2 linked regions of the Notamacropus eugenii genome follow. The protein of the gene in region 1 binds, or shares a complex with, the protein of each later gene. Links are inferred from orthologs where the notes say so. Each region holds a gene or a part of one and is shown on either strand. Other genes may lie near its edges.

Region 1 (7,360 bases):
CAAACAACAACAACAAAAAAATACCACCACTATAAAGCATACAGATGAGCAAAGGCTTCTGCAGAGCCTTGTCATTTAAAAATAATAGAATTTTTGTAAAGAATCTTGGAAATTATCTAGTCCAAGACACTCATCTGTCCAGGAAAAGTCATCAAGAAAAATAAAAATATGAATTTTATTTACTCACATACCTAAATACCCTTCTAAGAAGAAATAAAATACTAGAAAATCAGAAGAAAAAAATTTGCACACAGGTTCATTTTTCTACAGCATTCACCCAGAATGCTTATGTTCTATTGATTTATAAAGAAGGCAAAATTACTGAGAGATCAAGACTTAAGTCATTATCTCACAATCTACTGGGAAAATCACATGAGAACGTCTATAAAAGCATTTAATCATGTAATGTTTTTAAAAATTAAAAACGATAAAATTAATAACGATAACTTCAAAGACATAAAGTTTGTCTAATTGAATTTCAAAGTCTGTTACAATTCACTCAGTGAATGATTTATAACTCATAAGTGCCATGATCCACACCAATATAAAAGCCTAAGAAAATTTCAGGAATACTTTTCCTACCATTAATTTTCACTGGGTACTCTGTAGAAGGTTTCTACTCTGAATATGAAGACCATGAAATTATTTTGGCCCTTTGCAAATGCACAAAATTTGTAACATCAATCTTTGGAGAAAGAAAAAAAAGGTAGTGGAAGTATAATGTGATGTTTTTCTCACTCTGTGCAAAAGGGACTGAAAAGAGTAGGGCAGGACTGAGTCTCTCTGGCGACACCAAAAGTAAAGAACTTATCTCAGGTAAGAGCTGCAGGCACATTTTTAAAGTCTAAGGATCAGAACTAGTGCTTCCCCTCTATGATGCAGCTTTCATTTTTCATTTATTCACATTTCTACAAGAGTGATATTAGAAGTTCATTTGTGCCAACAGAACAAAACCAAGTACTGAACTTGCCTTTTTAAAAAAGCTGCCACTTTGTTATACCATAAATAACAACAAAAAAGTTTTGAGAAAAGATTTTGCAAAAGGATTTTAGAAAAAAAGATTACAGAAAACAAATCTAGCCTTAGTCCTACAGACAGATGATTAAGAGGAGAATGTACTCATAGCCACTGTTCGACAAGGAAAGTTAAAATAAACTATCCAAAGATAAAAGAAAAAGATTGGTTCTCTCACTCCAAAAATGACTTTCACTTTCACCAATTCTCATATCTGACCTTAACCTTTCCCTGGAACAACTGCAACTTCCTTCCTGTTCTGCTTTTTCCTTTTAAACATTTCCATTCATTTGCCAAAATGCAAGCTTTTATAACAATGTATCTTCTATGAAAAACTCGCTGCAACATGATAAAACCAAAACTCTGACAACATGACTTTTTCTCACTTTCTAGAGGATTCTTGCGGCTGGGCCAGGTCCAATACAAGAAATTATCAGCATGGCTACTATGACCAAACTCACACCAACTTATCATGATATCACATGCCACCATGCTTTTTGGTAAAGAACTTAAACTTTGAAATAGTCTGAAAATGAAAAACGAATGGCAGGGTATAGCTTATTAGTAATGGGTTGGCTGTTCTAAGGCAAAAATCTGACCCATTTAAAAAAAACTCTTTCATACTCCAATGCCCAAATCAATTTCCTTTTTTTTTGGATAGTACTGTATAAAACTATCGTTTTAAGCCTGGAGAAGGAAGTTTAATAATCAGTACTCTCCTCAAAATGTTGAACAAAGGATGCAGTATTAGACTCAGAGCCATTGGATATAAAAAGCACAACTCTATGATATCTCCTTGAATTTTGTGGGAGAGGGTACTTGGATGGTTTTGTTTCTGTCTGGACTCGTGGTTTTATCAATTCAATTCATCAAGCACGTATTAAGCCTAGGTTGTGTGCCAGGCACAGTAAATACAAAGACAAAAACCACACAGTCCTGGCTCTCAAGAATCTTCCTTTATCTGGGAACTCCCAGTATTGAAATTCCTGATGCAGATACAAATCAGCAAGTCATCCATAACTTATAAATCTTGACGAGTCGCCTAGGGCACTAAATGACTTTCTTATTCTCATAAGGCTAGATTTTCGAGGTAGGACTAGTGCCCAGGTTAATACCAATCTGGGAGGCCAGTCCTCTATCTACTATGTCTGGCTGCCTCTAACTTGGACAGATAACGGTAAAATATTCTAGTACACCTAATTATAGATGCTCATGAATCTTACGGACTCTTTGGCACAAGGGGCATCATCTTCTAACTACCACCTAGGGTTTATAAGGCCCTTCAGGACTGAAGATCCTTTGGCGGTAAAGAGCAATAACATGAGGATAGAAAATGTTATTTTATAACGTAATTATGGTCTGTAAAGCCTGCTGGGCTTCTTCGCAGGTAAAAGCACTACACTAAAGAGAACTATTTATTGCTACTTTATTGAGAAGAGGTTATCCTCTGCACCGGGTATCTCTCTCTCTCTCTCTCTCTCTGCAGCTTTCCGTCTTTGGAGGACCCTGTGATGGGGATCCAAAATGCTGTGCCACAAAAATTAAAAACAAAAAACACCCCTCCCTCAGTTGGGCCTGTAGCACGCTGAAGTACTACTGTAACAGAGAACTTTTATATAATAGGAGTATTGAATATCTCAGGCCCTGATTGCACAGTCTCCACCCCGGTAATTGACAAAGAAGGTAGCCAATCACCAGTCAGGATCCCACAGCCTTAGCAAATGAGAATACGAAGGTGGGGTTAGGCTGGGCTCCGGGATGTTCCCCATAACCCCCCTTCCCCCCTCCCCGAGAACCAGGTTGCGAAGAGACGGATTGGGAAGTGGGCTCGGAGGAACTCGTTACCCCCGGTTGTAGCTGTTCTCCTCCTCGTTCTCGCAGTCGCTGCAGTGCTCATGGCCGTTCCCGTTCCCTTCCATCAGCTGCGGCGCCGGAGGCGGCGGCGGCGGCTGCTTCACTGCTGTCTCACTCTCATCCGCCATCTTGAGTTGGGAGAGCCGGGCTCCGCGCCCCGCAACATGAGGCACCGCTATTGGACGAGGAGGAACCGGCGATGTTTTCTGGGCTTTGTAGTCTTTACGGAAGGTAACGAACGGGTAGAAGGGGAGGGCTCATTTTCTGAAAACCGATCAGAACGGACTACGTTACCCAGAAATCACGAGGTCAGGGGGAGGATCGCTGCTAACAGTAAAGTCTTCTTGGAGGAGGGACAGTCCCCGGAGGTCTTCGGGATTCGAGGAAAGAGGGGCCTTAAAGGTGGGGGAGGGTAGACACTTCCCTAAGAGTGGAATGCTGGGAGTTGTAGTTCTCAGCCTACCTAGGGTACCCCACATGGACTTTTCCAAGACCTGAGGTTTGACTTTAACCTATCCTTTTCCAACCCAAGGTCCTAAGCGATCAGTTTATTTGCTACCGTTAATAACCGTTACCGTTCTGGGGTAAGTGAGAGAGGCCCGAGGGTGCGGACAGGAGGGGAATTCTCCAAGGCTGGCGTGTTTCTTAGAGGAAGTGTTTGGGGGGAGAGGACCAACTGTGTGGGGGATGGAGGGGAATGGAAGAGAGGTTCTTTTAGCCCAGAACTAAAAGCTCGGATGGACCTGTATCCAAAAGGTGAGGGCTAATCTATCCCTCTTCCCCCCCACTCCACTTGGTCCCTGAACATAGTGGAGCAGATTAAATCCCGACGCCTACTAAACCCATCAATGTACGATAGGAGCAGCAGCTGTTTTACGGAGGGTGAGCTGGTTTCCCCTTCATAGTAGTTGGAGAGGTTCTTACATTGGTTATGATCGGTTTGGCTTCTTTGCGTCTTGAGGCTTGGGAGTTGGGTTAGGAGATTTAGCCCAATCACTGAATCAGTAAGCATTTATTAACAGCCCTTTGTGTGCTAGGCACTGTGCTAAGCGCTGGGGATACAAAGAAAGGTAAAAGACAGATCCTGCCCTCCAGAAGCTCACCAGCTAATGGACAAACTGCTAACAATTATGAACAAGCAAGCTGTACACAAAATGAATAGGAAATAATCCACAGAGGGAAGGCACACTGCTGTGTGAGGTCACCTTTCTGACCTAGCCTGACCATTGCCAGGTGAAGGTGAAGTAGCCAGCATTTTATCTGAATTGTATCCTTTTTAGTCTTAAGAACAGTTTTTATTGCATTTGAAATAATTTTTCTTTTATGTGGAGCAATGGATAGAGCATTGAGCCTGGAGTTAGGATTATTGTGTTCAAATCCAGCCTCAAACACTTGCTAGCTGTATAACCCTGGACAAGTCACTTAACCTTAGTTTCCTCACCTACTTTCCATCCTATTAACAGTCTCCTTACAACTCATCGAAGTGGTGGAGAAGGCTGGGTGAAGGGACCTGGGACCAAAGGCAGAGACATCACACTTAGATGAGGACAATGGCTAAGGAGCCTACCCCTTTGGCACTGAGTGACTGCCTAGCTCAGGGGTAGGGAACCTTCAACCTCGAGGCTGCATGTGACCCTCTAGGCAGACCCACAAGTGAGGCCCTTTGGCTGAATCCAAACTTCACAGAATAAATTCCCTTAATAAAAGGATTTGTTCTGTAAAATTTAACTGCAGAGAGCTCATAGTCAATAAAGCATGATCCTGGGCAAGTCACTTAACCTTCATCTCACTGCAAAATGGGCATATAATAGCACCTATCTCCCAGGATTATTGTGAGGATCAAATGAGATAACTGTAGAGTGTTCTGCATAGTGCCCTTCATCTAATAAGTGCTATATAAATGTCAACTGTTGTTGAATGCAGCTAGCTAAGAACTGACCTTGCCAGATCCAAAGCTACCAGTTGCCTGAGGGAGACCTAAACCAGCTAAAAGAGGACCATCCAAACTAGTTTAAAAAAAAAAAAAAGAAAGAAAAGAGGACCAGCTGTTACCATTCCAAACTCCCTAGGCTTTGCTATGGACTATAAAAAACAACTTAACTGCTTGTGGAGGCTGTGGCTCCCTTGATGTTCCCACCCTATTGAAATGTATTTAAACCCTGCCCCTTTTGGGCACTCCAGGACTTTGTTGTCTTCTGGTGTCCCCCCAATTGCAATTCCTTTGCCTCTATTAAAAAATCTTTTTTTTTGCCACGTTGGTAGCCTTCTTTATTTCAGGTGGACGTATCTAACACCATCATCTTCGTTATTAAATATTTATTAGATGCCTACCATGGAAAGAGAAAGACAGTCCTTGCCTCCCCTCAGAGAACTCACAATTTAATTGAGGAAGACAACGCTTAAAAGGAAGCTGAAGAGAATGGGGGGAGGGGGCAGTTCTTGGCTCTACTCTGCAAACAGTGGAACTGAGGCTTGTGATGAGGTGGAGTACCAAAGCTAATGGAATTTTATGGGATAATGAAGTTTTCCCAATAATAAAGTTATTGTTGTTGTGTTCTTTGTTTTCGAAGAGGGTCATGACTTGGAGGGGTGAGGAATGATGACATGACTTGCAGTTGACTTTGATTTGAGTAACACAACCTGTGAGTAGACTGAGCTTCTTGAATGGAGACCCAGCCAGTTGGGTAACTCAGTTCACCCCCTCCCTCTTCCTCTTTCTCTCCTTCTCCCTCTCTGTCTTCCTCTCTATCTCCCTTTCCCTCTCCCTCTCCCTCTTTCCCTCTCTCCTTCTCCCTCTCCTTCTTCCCTCTCCCTCTCCTCCTTCTCTCTCTTCTCCAAAGGAAGGTAAATTTCAATAATGGAATATCTGGGACATGGTGGAAAAGTCTGAGAAGTCCCAAAGTAGTGCATCCTACTTTGAAAGAAATGAGGGGATGTTCTGAGGTGAATGAACTTCTTGGCATCTTCTGGAAAGAGGAAGGATATCGAATCTTTGTAGTATTGGAATTGTGAATTGTCTTGGCCACATGTGTACCCTACACATGTTTTTCATAAGTCTGGTGTACTCTTCTTCCTGGAGGGACTGTGTGTTCATGAGACTGTGCCTCTGATAATCGGGAGAAATGCTTTGTAACTCCTGACCTTGCTATGTCATATGAGTTCTTTGCTAAAAAACTGAATCTACTAATGAGTAAAGGGAAGTCCACCAGCAAGAGCTCATGTTCTAGTATTTAGGAAAATAGTCATCCATAGGGTTGTCCATAGGACTCAGGGATAGTAACAACCACCCTCTAGAGACCCAACCTGTTGCTGGTGGTGTGTCATGTCCTGTTTGGAATGTTATGCTATTAACATGTATTCTGAGCTCTGGAAGTTCACAGCATGTCCTGAATTTATTTTTAATTAAAATAAACTTTTATTTTTTTTTCTATTCCAGGACAGCTTTCTTTTAACTCATTTTAAAATTGATCCTTTTGATATCTTCAGAATTATTTAAAAACTTTTTAGATCATAATCTGTCTGATCTTCCTACCCTTCTGGAAGTCACCTTCTAGATGGTCATAATAGGGTGAGACTGAGGCTCTCTTACTACAGGAGAATATTGTCAGTTCTCGTCTTCAGTCCTACTCTCATTCTCTTCTCTTATATCCCTAAACTCAGCAGTATTCACATTTATCAGATCACTGTTATTAGACTCAGTGTCACATTCAGATTTAATGACTTCCATGGTGCTGTTGACCTCATTCTTAGTAACACTTTCCTTCCATTGAATATTAGTTTTTTCACTGTTTTTCTTGACTTGTAGACTTCATGCTTTAAAAAAAAATCTTCATATTCTCTTTTGTCTTGCAGAAAAGTCTTGTCTTTGTGCTTTATGGTTCTTTTGTGCTCTGATGTGAAAGAATTAGGTTAAGATAAGTTAATTTTTCTTTTATATTATTTTCTCTTAGATTTTCTGTCTTGTTCTCTATCCCAGCTTTTTCTTCTATGTTTATATGATTTTCAGTTTTGGCTTTTTGATCTGCTTCAGTCTTGTTTATAAGATTTAACTTTAGGCTCAACTAGGAGATCTGAACATTCTAGTTTTGAAGCAGTCCTATTTGTTTTTTTTCTTCTGAACTTCCTTCTGTTTTCTTCTGTGCATTTTCTTTTAAATGAATGGTTGTTGATACAAACAGAATCCCCCATCACCTCAGGTCAAGTGGTAGATTGCCTACAAGAGACTTCTGACCTGTCAGCTACTTTGTCATAGGTGAGCCAGACCTATGATGGAGATTGGTGATGACTTTGGAGATTCCATCTTCTGTGCGATGAACCTGATGCTTCTTGTGTTGTTCCTGGTCATTATGAATGTCATTTGCAAGAAGATCTGCTATGACCTGGCCCTGGTAATACTATCACTGGATGAATTTTTTACTTAAAAAACACCTGTATTGTTTATGTTTTTATGATTTGTGTTGAACTCCTCCTCCATAACTGCTTGTGCTAGCTT
Region 2 (7,344 bases), on another chromosome or scaffold:
TTGGAGTCAAAGACCTGGATTAAAATCCTCCTTATTACTTGTAGGACCTTGGATAAGTTAATCAACTTTTTGGGCTTTCAGTTTCCTTATCTGTAAAATGACTATGCTGGACATCCCTCATGCTCTTTCAGTTTGTTAAATTCTTACCTATCCTTTAAAGTCTTCCTCCAGGGCCACCTCTTCCAGGAAGCCATCTCTGACCCCATTCATGTGGTAACAGCTTTGGATGTAGAGCTACTCCATTTTAAGAATCACCTTCCCTCTTCAGCACTCAGTATCTCTCTAAGATGTTTATCATATATATTGTATGTGAGAACTATCTGTGTAGATGCCTTATTCCCCTATTAGACCCTGAACTCAATAGAGGCAGGAACCTGGGGCAGTGAATTGTATGTACAGTCTGGAGTCAGGAAGATTGATCTTCCTGAGTTCAAATCTCAGATACTTAGTAGCTGTGTGACCCTGGGCAAGTCACTTAACCCTATTTGCTTCAGTTCCTTCATCTGTAAAATGAGCTGAGAAGGAAATGGCAAATCACTCCAGGGTCTTCAAAGATAATGTCAAATGAGGTCATGAAGAGTCAGATTCTAATGAAAACAACTGAACAACAATCTCTCCCTGGATCCCTACCCTCTCTCCATTCCCAGTACAAGGTTCTGCATGCAGCAGGTGCTTAATTTAATTTTTATCGTATGAATGATTGCACAAACAGATGCACATTATTCCATTTTAAAGGTCCTTCCAGACAAGAAACTGGAGAGTGGACAAAATTCTGCAATCAGACTGGGAGGAATAGGATACAGAGGTTGGAAAGTACCCTAAGGGAGTTAAGAATGTTTCCAGTCATAGCTGAGAAACCTTGATTTGGAGTTAGGGGGCACAGGGTGAAATCTCATCCCATGACCCTTCTCTATAATGAGAGAAATGAACCAGATAGTCTTTAGGTATTTTTCCAGTGGGATAGCCTGTCACTCTTGGGCTACCTTTTCCTCATTCTATCCCTACCTATTTAATAGATGAATAAACTGAATCCGAGAGAGGGTATCTCCCCCAAGATTACCTTCCAGGTTGCCTGTAGCAGATGGGGTACAGCTTGCTAAGACGTGGTCTGTGAAGGACCCCAGTGATTGACCTCTCTGCTCCAGGTTTGGACTCCCCTGTCCTTCACAGCACAAGGCCCTGAAGCCCTGGGCTAATGAGTTTAGGCCAGGCCAGTGGATAGGTGGCCTCATTTCTCCTGGTGGGAAGTGGTAGGAATGGAAGAAAGAGACAGAATGGACCTCACCCTTGGGATATGACTGTTGCGCAAGCAGAGCAAAGAGCTATGGCCCTCTCGGAACTCTCGGACAATTCTGGGAAACAGGACACACCTCCAGGAGCAACTCTTCAAGTATAGTTATTATATACAAGGGGCTGAAGAGAGGGGTGTAGACAAAATGTGGCCCCTGAACACTCAGATGGGAGGAAGAAGAGATCAGGACAGAAAGATCCCAATGGTGCCTGAGCCCTGAATTGCTGTGCCACAGGAGGGAAGTACCTTCCCTCTCTGGGCTTCTATAAGTTTACTCTTCTATAAGAATGAGGACATTGGCATCCATGGTTCTCTTCTGCCTTTAAATCCCATGAACTTCTGATCCCATAAGTATTAAGAGATCAGGTTAGGAAAACTTGGGGGAATATATTGATTGAATAGCATGATGGAAGCAAAATCACAGAACGTCAGAGCTGGAAGAATTCCAAGCCAGGAGGGGAGAAATCTTAGAACAGTGAATGTTGGCACTAAAAGGAACCACAGGACATAGAGCAGGGGTGGGGAACCTGTGGCCTTGAGGCCACATGTGGCCCTCTGTGTCCTTAAGTGCAGTCCTTTGACTGAATCCAAATTTCACACAACAAAGGGTTTCCAGTTTGGATTCAGTCAAAGGGCTGTAGTTGAGGACACAGAGGGCTGCTGTATGTGGCCTCAAAGTCACAGGTTCCCCACCCCAATGGAGTTTGAGCTAGATGTGTCTAGGAAGATCTTAAAACACAGAAGGTAGACTGTCAGAGCAGTTGGTGGAGGGGTAGACTTAAGAGATTTTCGAATTTGATACTAATTTTTACATATGGGAAAACAAAGGCCTAGAGGTGGCAAATATCCCCACTGGACAGGTGGAGCAGGGAAGCCAGAGCACTCTAGGCCTGCAGGGATGGCACTGGTGACAGATAGAAGATGAGGCTTTGGGAATAGAAGAGTAAGGGATATGAGAGACACCCATCATGGGAGGAGAGAACCCCTTTTCCTGATATGCTGGTATATACCTTCTCTCTTCCCACCCCAGGCCTTAGACCCTTGTGGGGGATAGGGGTCCCAGTTCAGCTGAAGGACGGAGACCACTTCCGTGACTCACCCTTGAGCCTTTGCACAGCCAAACCCACCTGGCCCAGGAGATGGGTACTTCCCAAGGCCTTCATCTGGAGCTGACAAGCTGCAGAGGTTGTGGGGTGGGGCGGCAGAAGAATGAGATGACAGAGGGGAAGGGGGCCTCCCCTCCTTCCCTATGCCTCTGCCAGGACGCCGTGTGCAGGAGGCTGCTTTGGAACACACCCCCACACGAATGGCGTCTCTCACGCCTCCACCAGGGGGTTCCACGTGCCCTGGCACAGGGCTGTACAGAAACCGGGAGAAGCTGCTCACATTCCTTCAGGAGGTGCCGATTCCCTCCCCCAGCCATTCCCTCAGGGGACCTCTTGGCAGGCCCTGCCCCCTAGCCCATGATACCTGGTGCCTGATCTCTGAGAGTCACTGAGGTCCTGACCAGGAGAAATCAGCTTTGTCTTAGGGGGCAGGCTTGAGATTGGACCATGGGAGATGACTTTCTAATGAGGGAGGGGTGAGAAACACACTGGAACCCATAAGTCATTGACTAAGTCAGGAGCATAGTTTTAAAATTGGAAGGGACCTTAGAAGCTCCCTTCCCTTCCTCCCATTTTACAGATGAGGAAACTGAGATCACACAGTGACAGAGTCTAGATTTTAATCCAGTTCTCCTGACTTCTGATCCAGTGAGGAATCCTACTGCTTTAAAGGAATAAGGAAACTTTCCAGAGCAAGGTAGGGGTTGGGACTCTCAGGAGAGGGAATAATGGGAAAATAGGTCTTTTTCTCTGGACTCCCCGACACTTACCAGCTGGGTGATGTTGGACAACTCACTTAATTTCTGTCTGCCTCAGTTTCCTCAACTGTAAAATGGGAATAATAACTATATATACCTCCCAGAATTGTTATGAGGATCAAATGAGATAATATTTGTAAAGCACTTTAGTGCTGCTAGGTGATCCAGTGGATAGAGCCCCAGGCCTGGAGTCAGGAAGGCCTGGGTCCAACCCTCTTTGCCTCAGTTTCCTCATCTGTATAACAAGCTGGAGAAGGAAATGGCAACTCCCCCCCACCCCCAGTATCTTTGCCAAGAAAACTTCAAATGGGATCATGGAGAGTTGGACACAACTAAACAACAAGGAAGGGCACACAGTGCCTGGCACATAGTAGGTGTTCCTTTTCCAAAAGGAGGAGGTTATTAGAGGACCTCTCATCAGATCACAGCTGTAATAGTTTACATTTCTATAGTGCCTTGGGATGTTAAATCTATTTTATCTCAATTCATTAGGGTTTTCATGTACTCTGTGACCTTAGGTAAGTCATTCCCCTGCTCCAAACCTCAGTTTTCTCATCTGTGGAATGGTGATATTATTCACGTTACCAACATCAGAGGATCTTGGCACTTGGCAAATTTAAATCATCCTCACCACAACTCCCTGAAGCAGATAGGACTCAGGAGGCCCAGAGAAGGACAATGACTTGCCCAAGGTCAAACAGGTCAAAACCAACGTTTGAAACGAGGCGTCCCAGTTCCAAATCCTGAGACCTTTCTACTGTAAATTCAGGCCAAAAAAGAGAAAGTGACAGGCCCAGGGTGAGTCTGGGAATAAGTATCCTAGGCTAGACTTGAACCAGATCTTCTATCTTTAGGTTCCACCACCGTTCGAGTTCTATGGGCTCTACCTGGAATCCAGGTAGATGCTGCCCTGCTTGGAGCCAGGGGAAAGGAAGGGAAGTCTTCTCCCCTGCCATTGCCTAAGTCCATCCTCTCTACAACCAGGAGGCGGAGCAGGGTACAGGATGGGGGCCAAGGTCATGGAGCTCCCTCCCTCTCGGTGTGGCCCAGAGACCCTCAGACCTCAGCTGAGCCGCTACTTAATCCGCGTGTCCTCCCCGCCCCTCCACCCCGCAAGCCTCCCGCAGCAGCTCCTGCTTTGCGCCGGCGCGTGGGTGTGTGGGGAGGGGGCGGTTCCCGTCCTTACTTGCCCTAGTAACCTGTCTCCCCCCGCATCCCCCCGGCGCCCCTCTCCCTGCCTTGCAGTCTCTGGAGGGGTGCGCCTTTGGAGACCCCCAGGCGAGGGCTTCCAGGAGGGGTGTCCCGGGGGCGGGGCAGGGGAGGGGGCGTGGCTGCGGGTCGAGTCGCCCCACGAGGCGGGAGTGTGAGTGGGGAGGGGGTTCTCCTGGATCCCCTGGCTGCGCCTACCTCACCAGGTACCCAGCAGCGGGCCCCCAGCCCTTCTGCCTTGCTCCACTCAGCTCAGGGGGATCCGGGCCTAGGGAGGGGTATCTGGGGGCGGGAGCGGGGCGGTGCACTGGGAGGCGCCTCCAGCCTCCTCGGAGGGATGTAAGGTGCCTCGTGGGGCAGAGACCCGGGCTCCGGAGCAGGTGGGGAGGAGGGGAGAAGCACCAGGACCCTTCCCCCACCTTTACGGGGGCCCCCCCATTTCTGAGAGCTTGGGGTCTGAGAACTGGAGGGGAGGGGTGTGAGGAAAGAGCAGGGACACCGATACTACTTTGGGGAGAGGGATCTGGGTCCGGCTTGGTGCTGACCACCCTTTCCCAAATGAGAGGGTCGTGAGCGAGGCGAGGTCCACACCCCCGCAATTAGCGTCCGTTCGGGCCGGGGGCGTTAGGGAGTCCCTGGGGAGAGGGAGGGGCTCCAAGGCTGAGCCTGGGGAGGAGGGAGGTGGTAGGACTGCCTGAGGGGCGTCTCCCTCCCGCCTTCCAGCACCCCCTTCCTCCTGCCTTCCAGCATCCCCCTCCTCCCGGGCCTCCCCCCGCCCCTCCGGCCGCCCTCAGCCGCCTCCCCCGTTGCAGCGCCTCGGCTTCCCTGCGTAGTCAGTGTCTTCTTGCAGAGGGGTGAGTGGGGGCTGCGCTCCAGGGAGGGGCTGGGGGGGCTCTAGAAGGTGGGGGAGGATGCCCAGGGGAGAGGAATGGGGGAACTACTCCTGGGACCCCCGCCCCCTCTTCTCTAGAAGCCGGATTCGCTGCTTGGCCCGGGGATCCCCATTTCTCCACTGCCTCCTCTGCCTGGGGAACTGGAGCAGGAGCCCCACTGCAAATACTGGGGCGGGGGTATCCAGCGAGAGCGGGGTAATATGGGTAGGAGCATCCCAGAGCAAGGACGGGAATCCTGGGGCTGGGAGGGTGTCCCAGAACCGAGGTGGAACAATGTGGGTATTATCGGCAGTTACGGTAGGGATGCAGAATCAGGGGCTTTGGGGTTTTGAGGGCGAACCCGAGAGGTAGGAATGTGGGACGATGGAATGGGGCCAGGGAAGGGAGAGGAACGGATGGACCAGGAGCCTCCGGCAGACCCAGGGAAACTTGGGTTCAGGGTTTGGAGCCCCAGAATGGTCTATGGCAGCTCTTTCAGGCCAGACTGGGAGTTCTGGAGATGGGTTTCCAGTTGTGTGAGGACTGGGTGTGGGCAGAGGAGGGGAGCTCTGGCACTTTTCTGGAGAGGGGAAACCGGGATGCTTTTCTCCTTCTTGAGGGGTGGAGGAAGGATCTTTGGGACTACTACCTCTAGCCCCTGTTTTTTGGTCCCCTTTTGGCTTTGAGGAGGGGGGTGGGGTTGAAGTCATTTTGGAAGGCTGCAGAAAGGAGAAGGTGCTGTCCTGGTATGCCACCCTCCCTCCTGCCAGTGATCTAAGGCCTGAGAAGGCAGACCTTGCCCTTTCCTTGCTGCTTTCTAGAGCCCCTTTATGCTGGAGCCAAGTCCTCTCCATACTGCAGGCCTGGCTTTTTGGATAGCAGAAAAGCTAATGAATGGGGCCTACTTCCCTAACTGACTTCCCCCCTTCCTCCCCCCACCCCGCACAGATGGGGGGCATATCACTGGCCTGAGCCCCAGCCCAAAGCCTCAAGAGTTGGGCAGGTAGGTGGCATATCAGGGTTCTTAGGACAGGGAGGACCTATCCAAGAGGGACGGGAATACATATGCAGGCCATCTGAATATATCAACACATTGCTGGACATGGGTGCAGATGCATGCATATGTAGATAACATGCATGGTCACAGGTTTATGCACACACATGCACTCATGTTTCTGCATGCCTACATTTATGTACAAGAACACAAAACCATGCATTTTGCAGGCATATATCACTCCATGTGCATATGCAAATATATTATTCCATGTGTATGCACAAACATGTCCAGTACAATTACATGCACACACAAATCTGTACATGAACACATAGAGTAACATGGACTCACTGAGACTGCTGCCCTTTCTTTCTCTGCCTCTGTCTCTGTCTCTCACATACAAACACACACTCACACACCCAGCTTGGTCAGCCATTTCCAGGATGCCCTTCTCCCCTTCTGTTCCCTCTCTTCTCTTTTTTCCTATGAAGGAGGGCTCTTCCAGACCTTATGGGGGGCAGGTAGTCAGGGGGCAACAGGAGGAGAATGACAAAGGGCTGCTGCCCTATCTTCTATAACGTTCCTAGTGTACAAAGGGGTACAGGAGGGGTGTAATGGCCAGTGTCTAGGCGTATGATTACATATACACGACTGTGTGTCAACTTTCTGAAGAGTGGTAGAGGGGGCAGAAAAGAAAGCCCTGGCCTGGAACTCAAGAGGCCTGGGTATCAGTCATAGCCCACGGATTTGCTGTGTGACCTCGGACCAGTCACTTCCCCTCCAGTTTCTTCATCTGTAAAAGAACAAGGTAGAGTTCCATGGTTGGCACTGTCCATCACTCTCACCTGAGAATTTTACAGTATCGCGTCATGAGTTATGTGATAGCAGTCTTATGTGTGCTTGGGTACAAGTGAGGCCATGCAAAGAGCAGAGGGAAATAGCAGGATGAGGTAGGGTGAGCAAGAATTAGCTGGGAGGCTGAAATGTCTAGGTCCATCCTGTTCTCACCGAAGAATTTCCCCTCTGAGCCTGTTCTTGGGGGAAGTATAAGCATCTCAGGTCAGGAGGGTGATGGGGTCTGAAAGAAAGCAGGCTCTCAGTCCTCTCCAACCTT

The links. The genes of interacting proteins can lie anywhere in the genome.
Region 2: the proteins of NMT1 (region 1) and HPCA are in contact, whole or in part, in a crystal structure (PDB 7OWM), measured with the Homo sapiens proteins. The link is inferred for Notamacropus eugenii from reciprocal best matches to the Homo sapiens genes NMT1 and HPCA. Residues at the interface, in NP_066565.1 of Homo sapiens: Tyr180, Val181, Glu182, Asp183, Asp184, Asp185, Met187, Phe188, Arg189, Phe190, Tyr192, Ile245, Asn246, Phe247, Thr282, Ala283, Gly284, Tyr296, His298, Ser300, Lys310, Phe311, Ser312, His313, Tyr401, Leu403, Ser405, Tyr420, Gly468, Ile469; in NP_002134.2 of Homo sapiens: Gly2, Lys3, Gln4, Asn5, Ser6, Lys7, Leu8, Arg9.

What each region holds. Positions count from the first base shown.
Region 1 is NC_092873.1:348,771,703-348,779,062, forward strand, and holds the start of NMT1 (glycylpeptide N-tetradecanoyltransferase 1), read right to left. Parts: upstream 3,015-7,360; 5' UTR 2,997-3,014; coding exon 2,860-2,996; intron 1-2,859.
Region 2 is NC_092876.1:76,983,385-76,990,728, reverse strand, and holds the start of HPCA (neuron-specific calcium-binding protein hippocalcin), read left to right. Parts: upstream 1-4,314; 5' UTR 4,315-4,570; intron 4,571-5,111; 5' UTR 5,112-5,218; intron 5,219-7,344. UniProt on the Homo sapiens protein: Calcium-binding protein that may play a role in the regulation of voltage-dependent calcium channels. May also play a role in cyclic-nucleotide-mediated signaling through the regulation of adenylate and guanylate cyclases.